Linked DNA regions of Macaca fascicularis. The protein of the gene in region 3 interacts with the protein of the main gene of each other region in a pairwise test. Links are inferred from orthologs where the notes say so. Each region holds a gene or a part of one and is shown on either strand. Other genes may lie near its edges.

Evidence for each region.
Region 1: the proteins of METTL21A (region 3) and FAM200C interact in binary tests that used the Homo sapiens proteins (3 or more experiments, as listed by UniProt). The two-hybrid records come from large-scale screens. The link is inferred for Macaca fascicularis from reciprocal best matches to the Homo sapiens genes METTL21A and FAM200C.
Region 2: the proteins of METTL21A (region 3) and LNX1 interact in binary tests that used the Homo sapiens proteins (3 or more experiments, as listed by UniProt). The link is inferred for Macaca fascicularis from reciprocal best matches to the Homo sapiens genes METTL21A and LNX1.

Annotation. Positions count from the first base shown.
Region 1 is NC_088380.1:167,167,863-167,172,147, forward strand, and holds the start of FAM200C (protein FAM200C), read right to left. Parts: upstream 2,855-4,285; 5' UTR 2,444-2,854; intron 1-2,443.
Region 2 is NC_088379.1:80,430,860-80,434,506, reverse strand, and holds part of LNX1 (E3 ubiquitin-protein ligase LNX), read right to left. Parts: intron 1,921-3,647; coding exon 1,789-1,920; intron 1-1,788.
Region 3 is NC_088386.1:103,574,313-103,578,738, forward strand, and holds the start of METTL21A (protein N-lysine methyltransferase METTL21A), read right to left. Parts: upstream 2,873-4,426; 5' UTR 2,677-2,872; coding exon 2,619-2,676; exon of another isoform or gene 2,404-2,618; intron 1,969-2,403; coding exon 1,793-1,968; intron 1-1,792. UniProt on the Homo sapiens protein: Protein-lysine methyltransferase that selectively trimethylates residues in heat shock protein 70 (HSP70) family members. Contributes to the in vivo trimethylation of Lys residues in HSPA1 and HSPA8.

The DNA.
Region 1 (4,285 bases), on a different chromosome or scaffold from region 3:
TTAGGGGAATGAAAACATATCCTTCAAACCAATCCTTAGCTAACAAATATTCTAGGTGTCTAAGTGAATGGTCCCAATGCTTGAATAGATATTTAAATTTTCTACGTTTTCTGAGCTGATGACATCCTCCTATGAAAGTTGAAACCTAAAATGAAAACCATGTCTTTTCTCTTTCTGTCTCTTTAGCAATGAGTAAAGGCATAATCCACAGGTAGGCTCAAATAGACCTTAGAAAACATTCTATCTCCAAGATAAATAAGTGATCCCCAAAGTTTCCGAAGTTCTGTGCCAGAGAATGTGGCTGAAATAAAGTAACAGGTATACATTTAAATCCGAATGCCCACTTTGGCCATTAAAAGAAAAATCACAAGCCAAGAATATCTACTTAAAGCATTAGCTTTCAAGTGGATCTACCAAGATGAACTAGTTGTAAAGTGTACTCCAATAAAATAAGTTGATCTGTTACACGGTTGTTATGAGCCTGTTAAACTGGAGGATATCTGCCAATCAAAAAAGACAACCCGAAGTTTAAAGAGCTGATCTTAAGCCTTCATTTGTCAAGTAATGAGACTACATGACTACTTTTGCTTAGAACCACTTCTAATTAATGACAATAAAATTATGACATTACCATAAAATGCTTATTTTTCTGTATTCTATTAATGTATATTTATCATGTAATATTTGGGGAGGCAGAGGGAATAGAGGAAAATGTTTTTAGTCACATTAGAAATCTTTACAAGAGGGGCCTGGTGTGGTGACTCATGCCTGTAATCTCAGCACTTTGGGAGGCCAAGGTGGGTGGATCACTTGAGGTCAGGAGTTCCAGACCAGCCTGGCCAACATAGTGAAACTCTGTCTCTAATAAAAATACAAAAATTAGCTGGGTGTGGTGGCGCATGCCTGTAATCCCAGCTACTTGGGAGGCTGAGGCAGGAGAATCGCTTGAACCCAGGGGGCAGAGGTTGCAGTGAGCTGAGATCACGCCACTGCACTCCAGCCTAAGGACAGCCAGACTCTGTCTCAAAAAAAAGGCTGGGCATGGTGGCTCATGTCCATAATTCCAGCACTTTGGGAGGCTGAGGAGGGCGGGTCACCTGATCTCAGGAGTTCAAGACTGGCCTGGCCAACTTGGTGAAAACTCGTCTACTAAAAATACAAAAATTAGCTGTGCATGGTGGTGGGTGCCTGTACTCCCAGCTACTGGAGAGGCTGACGCAGGAGAATCGCTTGATCTGGGAGGCAGAGGTTGCAGTGTGCTGAGATGACGCCACCGCACTCTCCAGACTGGGTGAGAGTGAGACTGTCTCAAAAACAAAACAGAACAAACCAGAAATCATTACAAGATCTGTTAAGAGGCCATTTCCTATCCACCTTGACTATGTCTCTCAAGTATATTTTAATTTAAAATTTATCTGTTTTGAACAAAAGTTTTAGGAAAATCAATTTATGGTATTCTTCTCCATCCCCCTGAAAAAGGGAGAATAAGTGGCAAGAATTTTCCAGAGCCTCAAAGATGAACTTACTGCCCAAGAGGCTTGTTTTAGAATCTCACAATTTGTACTTGCGCTTTTTGTGGTATTTAGGAATTACAATATCCTAAAAAATGTAAACATTAAAAAGCATCATCATCATAATGAGATATTGTTAAACAGGCATGATAATGGTATTGTGGTTGTGTTTTTAAAAAGTCCTCATGTGTTCGACACGATTACTTACAAGTGAAATAAGATGTCTGGGATTCCTTTGAAATACTATACTTCAGCACACTCACAAACATGCACAAAGCGGGGTGGAGATAAAAGAAATGACTGGCCTTAAGTTGGTAACTCTTGAAGCTGGATGATGGGTACACATCATTACACCATTCGATTTTTATGTATTTCGGAAACTTTCCATAATAAAAAAAGCATTATCTTAAGATAGATAGATATCACTCATTTTAAGAATGATTCTTTTGAGAGATTATCTTCAGAGGCTTAATGAAAGATCTGATATCACAAAGTAAAATGTTTTGGCAAGTTTATGAAGGGTAGATATGAAAAAGTATTACAATTGAGAAAAATCAGTTAAAAGTGAACACTCACAAAACATTTAGGGAATGCTAATACACACACACACACACACACACACATATATATATATTCATTCCAGCAGTGAAAACACCAAAGTGCAGTTGTAAACCTGAAACTCCAAACCAAATACAATTCAACTTCTATCCAGCCACTGAGTATGCAAGATCATGGTAGGCGCAGGTGTTTGGGGAGGCAGAGCATTTAAGCATTACATTTTGCAGTTAAAATTAATAGCCAGGAGAAAGGGGGCAGGAACTTGGTGGCTGGGCAGACGCTCCAGGGGCAAACGCCTGGGATCGTGGCTTTGTCACTTACAGGCTGGGACCTTTCCAAGCTTCAGTTCCTCCAGAGGGGATAACAGTACCTACCTTACGGGGTTGTTGGGAGGTTTAATTATAAGAATGCATGCAAATAACAAGCAGCTCTTAATTGATAGGACCTGATGGTGTTACTGTTAAGGACGGAGATTTTTACACCCTCCAGGGTGAGATAGGAACGCCAGCGGCTAGGAAAAAAAAAAAAGAAAAAGACTCAGTGCTGTCTCCGCCCGCCCGTCTCCGAGCCTGAGGCGCAGGCCCATGGGATGCTCGGGCTTCTTTTAGGCGCCTGTTTCAGGCTCCAGTTCCGCTCTCCGCTCAGCCTAGGGTCCAGCCTCTGGCCGTCAGAACCAGTAGAGACGGCGATTCCTCAGGTCTGACCCCCCAGCAGGAATCTGCGGTGCGCCTGCAGAGACGAGCATCCGCAACAACCTCCGCCTCAGCCAGGCCCGAGTTCCATCCGGGTTCTCCAGGGTGCTTCCCGCCCGTAAACTGGGCGAGGCGTCTCCCACACGCAGGCGCAGTAGCAAAGGGCTGTGGGATGGGCTGGCGGGCTTGAGTACTGAGCATGCGCGCTGGCCCTCCCCCTTTCTTTGAGGTTGTGTACGTGGAACACAAAATCGTTTGTTTATTGTGTCTGCCAGAGAGGATGAACCGTACAATTTCAGGAATGGAAGGGGCTACAAACTACACATAGTTCTTTTTAACATGCAGAGCACTGAAACTTTTATATTGTGTTGGGCTTTGAGCTTGGAGATGATAAAACGCTTGATAATTACCATGTTCCATGTGGAATAAATGAGAGAAAAAGAGAAGGAAGCTCATTGTAATCTCAGATTAGACATTTCAGCAGTGGAGGATGAGCTTCCATAGCTTGTGTACTGTTGTCCATGCAGGGTGATCCCCCCGCCTTTCCTTAAGTGGGAACATGGGGATGAATTTCCTTATCATCATCCATCTCAGAGGAAAGATTTTTATTTAAAATTCTTTCAACAACATGATTTCAAAGAAATAAACCCATATTAGAGAGGTTTTAGGGAAAAATCCCAAGTAGAGACTAGGAAACGTTGTTGAAAGAAGTAAACCGGAATATAGCCCTTTCCTGTTTGGGGGTCTTTCCAGAATTCTTATAAACTTAAATGAGTTTACTCATTTTTGTACAATATTGTTAGAAGCATTCTATAAGGCTAGTGTGTGTGAGGAGTGGTGGGGCGTCAAAGAACGTGGGCCAGATACATCATTTTCAGGTGCTGAGGGTGAGCCTGGTAAATATTGAGGGGCTGCATAAGTTTTTGTGGATGCAAGAAACTGCTATAAGACCAGCCTTGTTGGTCAAGAAACTAGGGCCTTAAATACTAGAGAAGGGGATAGGCTTCAGAATCCGAGACAGCTAGCTTCATGTCCTGACTCCAATACTTACAACGGTTAGGATTTGTGCAGATTACTTGGAGTTAATTCCATGTGCTTTTTGTAAAATTGATAGATCATCCATTACCCCATGAAGTTCTTTTGAGGAAGGAGGTAACATTATGACAATTACAGTACATAATTCTCGAAAAGGCAGCTATTATTGAGATAATAAAATCAAAGCTCAATCTGAATAATGTCCTAGGCATTACGATTTTGAGACAGGGTCTCATTCTGTTGCCCAGGCTGGAGTGCAGTGGTGCAATCTCTGCTCACTGCAACCTCCACCTCCCGGGTTCAAGCAATTCTCATGCCTCAGCCTCCTGAGTAGCTGGGATTATAGGTGTGTGCCACCATGCCCAACTAATTTTTGTATTTTTAATAGAGATGGGGTTCCGCTATGTTGGCCAGGCTGGCTGGGCATTACTTTTCGAAAATAAAACAGAAGACATGATTCTGGATATTATAGAATTCTTCCTAAATCAA
Region 2 (3,647 bases), on a different chromosome or scaffold from region 3:
CTCTGTCACTCTTTCTGCTCATAGTCCTTTCCTCCCCACAGAGGGAAACCATGCAAAATTTGATGCCTATCATTCCTTGACTTTTTTAATTGGCTAAAAGTTTTCTGTCCCACAAATCCTGCTTTGTCTTCTTTGGTATTTCTTTGAATTGTTTAAGCTCTTATTTTTAAAAAGCTACCTAGTTTCCTAAACCAAACAAAATTTTAGTAAGAATATAAAAATTGAAATCATCAAAGAATCATATATGTCTTAGTTTTATTTTAAATATGTTACTTTTTTGTGAGGATATTTCAGAAGGCAGATAGAATATAAGTTAAAATGGAAATAATTACAATTCCCACTAAGTCAATTTGTATGTTTCCAGGAATTAAGACACATGACAGAGGGTTGCAGCAGAAATGTGATCAGATCCTCCCAGCTCTTTCATGAGGAGGAGGTGGAAGGAATTATAAAACCACAGTGCAGATGGAGGCTACCTTCTCCATAATTTGATGACTTAGAATATGACATATTCTAGTTAATTCAACTAAAATTAGTTAATTGGATAAAAACTTCAATTAAGTTAATAAACTAGTTTTCCATTAATAAAGATGATCAGTTAAATTTAAATATTAAGCATTTACTAGCAAAAAGACATCAGGGAGTCTCCTTATCCGTAAAATGTTTTAGTGGAATATATTTGGTCTGTCTAGACTCCTTATTGTAAATAAACATGTAATTTATGGATTTATGAGGCTTGGCTGGCTGGAGAACCCGGAAGGGTATATAACCTTGTAGGCTCTGTAATTAACACAGCATACAGCAGAGACGTTCCAAAATAAAAAAATTTGATATTGTTTCTCTATGTATTACTCAAAAACTCAATTTGTAAGCTATTCCAACCAACATATAGATTGACGTGGAAAGAAAAGGGCATTCCCTACTCTCTGTTGCAAGAAGAATGAGCTACCGTTAAGAATTTTTTTTAGTTACAAGTGATGCCATGAAACCAGAACTCAGGAGAAATGACTGAAAGAAGCTCATTAGCATCACAACAGGATGCCAAGCTAAAGTCATAGGACGCTTAATTTGGACTAAACAAGGTTTGTGTTGCTTAAACACGCATCTAAATGAAGAGGTTAAGGCATTGCATCTAACAGATGCCACAGAGAGAAGTACAAATTGGGCTGCGTCACTTCATTTAAAGAGAGGCTGCAAACTGGTGGCCTGAAGAAGGAATTCCACCCACAGATCCGCAGTGTTTTAGAGTTTTCTGGATTGAATGCCATATAACATGTGCTCTCTGGTTTGCCCCAATCCCCAACACTCCCTAATGTTACATGAGCTGCAAGTGTTTAAATTATCTTCCTGGGCCCTTCAGCAAACACAAACAAAAACTAAAAGTAGCCGGGAAATCATTGATTTCTAGGCAGACCAAAAAATTCAAAAGCCAGAAACCAAGCGAAGTGTTTGCTTCATTTCAAAGTGAATAAAATACAGTCCTTAAAAAAGATGACTCTTGGTAAAAACATGACATGTATTTGGCTTAGGCTAGAAATCAGGTTCCTGTATGAGGTCTGCATGATCAGGTTTCAAAACCCTCCTGCACTTTCCTCTCTCCTGCTTGGATGGGAGACACCTGTTATCTCTTCAAGTCTTAAATATGGGACTTTGGGCTTTTAGTTTTACAAGTCAAAGTGTCTGTTTAAGTAAAAAAGTCCTGAGATGACACTTAGAAATGTTAAAGCAAGCAGCCTTCCCAAGAAATAGCTCCTTGCAGGAGCAGCGGAACTGCCCTAGAGGCCTCACCTTGGGAGTGTTGCTCCTCTCCCCTGGCCCTGGGGACCAGCTGCCATTGCTGTTCCAGCTGGCTTCCTGAAAGATGTCAGGGCTCCGCCGAACCTGGCGGGACACGATGAGGTGAACACGTCTTTCACTGGCCTGGGCAAGAAGACACAGGTATTAGCCACTGTCAGTTTCCATCCACTGCATCCAGCACCAGGGGCTTACAAAGACATCACTTTGATTATACCATTTTTTTTTTATGGCAAAACATGGTTTCTAGTTTGTGGTGTTTTTTTGTTAAGATTTACCCATCTTGTAATTTGGCAACAGCATGAGAGCTCTTTCCTTTATCCTTAAACCAGGTAGTGAACGTTGCTCAAAGGGAAAATCTAAGGAAGGTTTGGTTCCTTCCAGTCTTTGAAAAGGCATCATTAGATATTGCTAATTCGTTTTTAATTAATGGTTCTACCACACACAAGCCATGTCCTAAGTTCTTCCTAGAAAGAATTAGGTTCACAGTGTAAAGTAGCAGCCCAAAGCAAAGGTCTGAGATCAATGGTACACAGTAAAGAAAAAGAGATAGAGTTAATGGCAGTAACCTGCCACTATAGGAAGAGAAATCCTGAGTCTGACACTTGCAAATATTTGGGCATAGGAAAGGTTTAGCACTTTAGAAATATGGGGATGACTTCATACATTAATATGTACAGCCTAATCAAAATTCTTTACCTTCAATTCACAATCACAAAGACATGGAATCAACTTAAGTGCCCATCAACTGATGGGTGGATAAAGAAAACATGGTATGTATATACCATGGAATACTACTCAGCCACAAAAAAGGATGAAATGTCTTTTGCAGCAACTTGGATGGAACTGGAGGCCATTATTTAAAGTGAAGTAACACAGGAATGGAAAATCAAATACTGCATGTTCTGACTTGTAAGTGGGAGCTAATCTCTGGGTATGCAGAGGCATACAGAGTAATATAATGGACTTTGGAGACTCAGAAAAGGGGAGGGTGAATGGGGTGAGGGATGAAAAACTGCCTATTGGGTACAGTGTACACTATTCAGGTGACAGGTGCACTAAAATCTCAGACTTCACCACCACACAATGCATCCATGTAACCAAAAACCACGCATATCCCTAACGCTATTGAAATACAAAATGTTTAAAAGACTGCAAAAGAGTAATTTGCCTTGATTCTTTATTTCTTATGGAACTACCACTTACTCTGACTGCTAATTCTCTCTGCTATGTACATCGATATTTGGACAGGCATTCAGAATAGCAAATATAGTACTTATTGGAAAGGTCTACTCCACATGATTGATACGGTTTGACTGTGTCCCCAGTCAAACCTCACCTTGAATCATCACTCCCATAATTCCCATATGTCATCGGAGCGACCTGGCAGGAGGTAATTGATTCATGGGGGTGGGTCCTTCCCATGCTGCTCTAGTGATAGTAAGTCTCATGAGATCTGATGATTTTATAAATGGGAGTTCCCCTGCACAAGCTCTCATGTCTGCCACCATGTAAGATATCCCTTTGCTCTTCCCTCCTCTTCCACCATGATTGTGAGGCCTCCCCAGATATGTAAAACTGTGAGTTCATTAAACCTTTATAAATTACCCACTCTCAGGTATGTCTTTATTAGCAGCACGAGAACAGACTAATACAATTATACATTTACAATTTGTCTTTCTGCCACAGATTAGCTTCACATGTGTCGGGTAGTATGGGTCATTATTCCAGAATTGCTGACCATTGAGATTTCAGAGCTGCAGGTCATTCAGACTGAATCTTAGACCTATGAAACTCATATAAATGGAGCTCTCTGGTGGCCTATGCTGAAGTAGCCAGCTGACCTCATTTAT
Region 3 (4,426 bases):
TGACCCTACAGAAAGAAGTATGTAAAGTTAACATAACTTTTACTATAATTTATTTCTCACAGCCACATATTGTGAGTATAATTGGCAATTCCTCATGGTATTTAGGAGACTTCCCATCATTATTATTTTTTTTTTTTTTGAGATGTACGCTTACTCTGTCACCCAGGATGTAGTGCAGTGGTGCAATCCCAGCTCCCTGCAACCTCCGCTTGCCAGATTCAAGCGATTCTCCTGCCTCAGCCTTCCGAGTAGCTAGGACTACAGGTGTCAGCCACCACAGCTAATTTTTGCATTTTCAGTAGAGATGGGGTTTCACCATGTTGGCTAGGCTGGTTTCGAACTCCTGACTTCAAGTGATCCACCTACCTCATCCTCCCAAAGTGCTGGGATTACAGGTGTAAACCACCACACCAGGCCTATATCTTTATTATTACCAGAGTAATTTTCATGTAATTACCTGGACTGGATTCCTAGAAGTGGTATTACTATGATACTGAGATTTTTATTCCTACGTGTTTAACATCCCTAACAATGTTAAAACTGTCAAACTATATTTATGCCAATCATGCATTCAACATTGAGTTCCCACTGAGTCCTAGGTTTGGGCTAGATGCTAGGGGCACAAGTCAGAACATTGCTGCGAGAGGAAGAAGTGAAAAAGCAGTTACAATTTTTTAACGATTATAACTATGGAAAACTTAAAACACATAATCTTCATTTTGGGCTCTGCCACTTTACAATACTCTGTGAATAAAGAGACTAACTCGGCCGGGGCAGTGGCTCACGCCTGTAATCCCAATACTTTGGGAGGCTGAGGCGGGCAGATCACTTGAGGTCAGGAGTTCCAGACCAGCCTGGCCAACATGTCGAAACCCCATCTCTACCAAAAAATACAAAAATTAGCCGGGTGTGGTGGCGCATACCTGTAGCCCCAGCTACTCCAGAGGCTGAGGTGTGAGAATCACTTGACCCCAGAAAGGGGAGGCTGCTGTGAGCCGGGATTGCGCCACTACACTCCAACCTGGGCAACACAGAGAGATTACGTCTCAAAAAAAAAAAGAGAGAGAGAGAGAGATAATTCGTGTCCAAAGCAGTTGGGAGCTTTCCTTCCGATCCTCTCTTACCCAGTGGGTAATTACTGGCAAGTCATTAACTTTCCTCAGCTTTCATTTACTCACCTTAAAAATGTAATCTATGTGGGGGGACAAGAGGAGTGACGTAAGGGATACCGGTTTGGAATGGCAGTCATAGTAAAACTGTTTTAAAATTGAAGCGGTGATAGTTGCACTACTCTGGGAATATGCTAAATTTTTAAAACCGCACTGAATTGTGCACTTTAAATAGGTGAAGCTGGCCGGGCGCGGTGGCTCACGCCTGTAATCCCAGCACTTTGGGAGGCCGAGGCGGGCGGATCACGAGGTCAAAAGATCGAGACCATCTTGGCCAACACGGTGAAATCCTGTCTCTACTAAAAAAAAAAAAAAATACAAAAAATTAGCCTGGCGTGGTGGCGGGCGCCTGTAGTCCCAGCTACTCAGGAGACTGAGGCAAGAGAATGGCATGAACCCGGAAGGCGGAGCTTGCAGTGAGCCAAGATCGCGCCACTGCACTCCAGCCTGGGCGACAGAGCGAGACTCGAGACTCTGTCTCAAAAAAAAAAAAAAAAAAAAAAAAAAGGTGAAGTGTATGGTATGTGAATTACATCTCAATAAGGCTGTTTTAAAAATAATTTTAAAAGTCAGTCTTACAAGCAAGTGTGGACGTTTTCAGAGGTCCCACAGGGCTTACTTACCGCATCCCAAACCACCGCTGCGACTCCCAGGTGTCTCCAGTCCTGCCGGATCTGGATCGTGTGGTTTGCAAAGGAAAAGGTTGCAAGAGGCTTGTGGAATTTCTGCAGCCCCAATTCCGTGGTCTCCTCATAGGGCACCAGGGCCATTCCGCCTGCACCCTGCCCTCTGCTCAGACCTGTCGTGCAAAAGAATCCTGGGTGACGCTCTGGCCAAGATACATTATCTCTTAACTAACTCCAAATGCTTTTACGGTTGTTTTACAAGTTCAAAAGAAAAAAAAGAAACAGGTGAAGGAAGCCTTTGTCCAATTTCTTTTGCATGGCTCTTTCGAACCTGAGTGAGATTTGGCTCGGCATTTGTGTCAACGGATGTCTTCGGGGAAGGAAAAAAAAAAAAGCCCAGAACATTCCAACTTCCGCAGAATACCCTACACATTGCACTGCTACCACTCCGTGAATTCAGAGCTGCACAGGCGGTGGAACTGGCGGTGACCGCCCAGGGCCCCAGGGCAGCGGAGAAAGCAGCGCTTCCAATCCAGACCCGGGAGTCGGGACTGCAGCTGCAGCCAGCCGGGCGGCCCGGGTTCTTTTGTTACGGTTTCGCCACCTACCTCCCCTCCTCCATCGGCTGCTTCAATAGTGATAACAATGGGACCGAACCTGCCCTTAAACTGGGTGTTAGCGTTTTGATAAGCCAGAAATATACGGTCGCCGCAGTTCCGTCCTCCCGGGACTGGAGCGACACTGGGGGCCTCCGAGTGGCTCACGGGGACAGCAGGAGCTCGGAGGCCTCCCCGAGGTCCCCCTAGAGCTGCCCCCCACTCACCCCTCTCCCGGGCCGACCAGTGCGCCCTTCCTGCCCGCGGGCCCCGGAGCTGCGGCATCCCCTCAGGGGTGAGAGGGAGACCAGGCGAGGGGGGCACAGGGCCTCTCAGGACCCCCCGGCCATGCGGGGCGCCGTGAGCTTCCCGGCGGAGCGCCCAGGACTCGCCCAGGCCGGGCGGAGGCGTCGCCACGCCGGTACTTACGGCTCGGGAGGCGGCCCCGAGTGGGGCCCGCGCGCTCAGCTTTCCCCGCCCCGGACTGGCTGCGGAAACCGCCGGCCTTAAAGAGCCCGCGAGGTGGAGGCGGAGGCTGGCCGCCCCGGCCCGGAGCCACGCGTTTCCGGTCTCCCGGCACCCCGCCCCCTGCAGGTGTCCCCGGAGCCTAGGGCGGAGCCGGGCCGTGGCGCGGAGGAGGAGTGACGTTGCGGGAAGGGGGGACCGGGGTTTTCCCGCGTGCATCCCCAAGTACACGGACGACCTAATCCGTTTCCCCGGCCGCCGAGGGAAGCGCTGTGGGGGCAGGAGCGAGAGCGAGACCGGGGTGCCGAGCAGCCGCGGGTGCGCAGGGAGAGCGTGGGGTGCCCAGGGCTCTCCCAGCCGGAGGGAAAAGCCACCTACCTGGTGCTGAATGTGCTCCTTACCTTTCTAGCATGTGCTCCGCCGCTCTCTGCCTCTGACTTTCTCGCTTGCGCCTTGTGCCTGTTTTTTAAAGGTGGCGGGTTAGCGGGTGATGAAGAAAGCTACCTCCGAAGAATGCGTGGTCACTCTGGTCCCCGCGTCTCCACTATGGGGTCCGAAGCGGCGTAATAGCCCGGTTGGCGGCAGTCGAGTGGAAAAGTCACAAAACCCTTCTCAACTAAAGCGCGGTGGGGGAAGTGAATACGTGGGCGCCCGAGTGTTAAGTTTTTTAAATGGGTCGGGGGACGCGGCGGGCTCCTGCTGCAGTCGGGAGCGCGGAGCTGCGGGCGCGCGCTCGGTCCCAGCCCCTGCCCCGGGCGGCGCTGCAGACTCCAGTGCCCCCGTCTCCCTCCTCCCGATGCCGAGGCGCACCTACCCGTGACGACCCACGCTGGACGTGGAAGGTGTCTAGGGCCTGGCACCCTGGCCGCAGGCCCTGGCAGAGAGCGCGGCTGAAGTGGGTCCCCTTGAGTGGGACCGCGCGGGGGCCGGCATCCTCCCGAGGCAGGCTTCCTTTTCCTCCAGGGCCCCCTCGCCCCACGTCGCCCGCCGCACTCAGCGCGGCTGCACATTAGAGCGAGCTAGGGTAAACTCCCTTACCCGCGACCCGGCCCCGAGAGCCGGCCATGGAAGGGGGCCCCGAGCGCTGATTTTTTGTTTGTTTGTTTGTTTGTTTTTGAGACGGAGTCTCTGTCGCCCAGGCTGGAGTGCAAGGGCGCGATCTCGGCTCACTGCATTCTCCGCCTTCCGGGTTCAAGCGATTCTCCTGCCTCAGTCTCCCGAGTAGCTGGGATAAATGGCCTACACCAGAAATTTTTGTGGGATTTTTTGTTTGTTTGTTTGTTTGTTTGAGACGGAGTCTTGCTCTGTCGCCCAGGCTGGAGTGCAGTGGCGCGATCTCGGCTCACTGAAACCTCCACCTCCCGGGTTCAAGCAGTTCTCCTGCCTCAGCCTCCGAAGTAGCTGGGATTACAGGCGCCCGCCACCACGGCCGGCTAATTGGCTTTTTTTTGTATTTTTAGTAGAGACGGGGTTTCACCATGTTGCCCAGACGGGCCTCAAACTCTCGACCTCCAGTGATACGGTCTTCTCGGCCTCCCAAAGTGCTGGGATTACAGGCGTGAGCCACCGC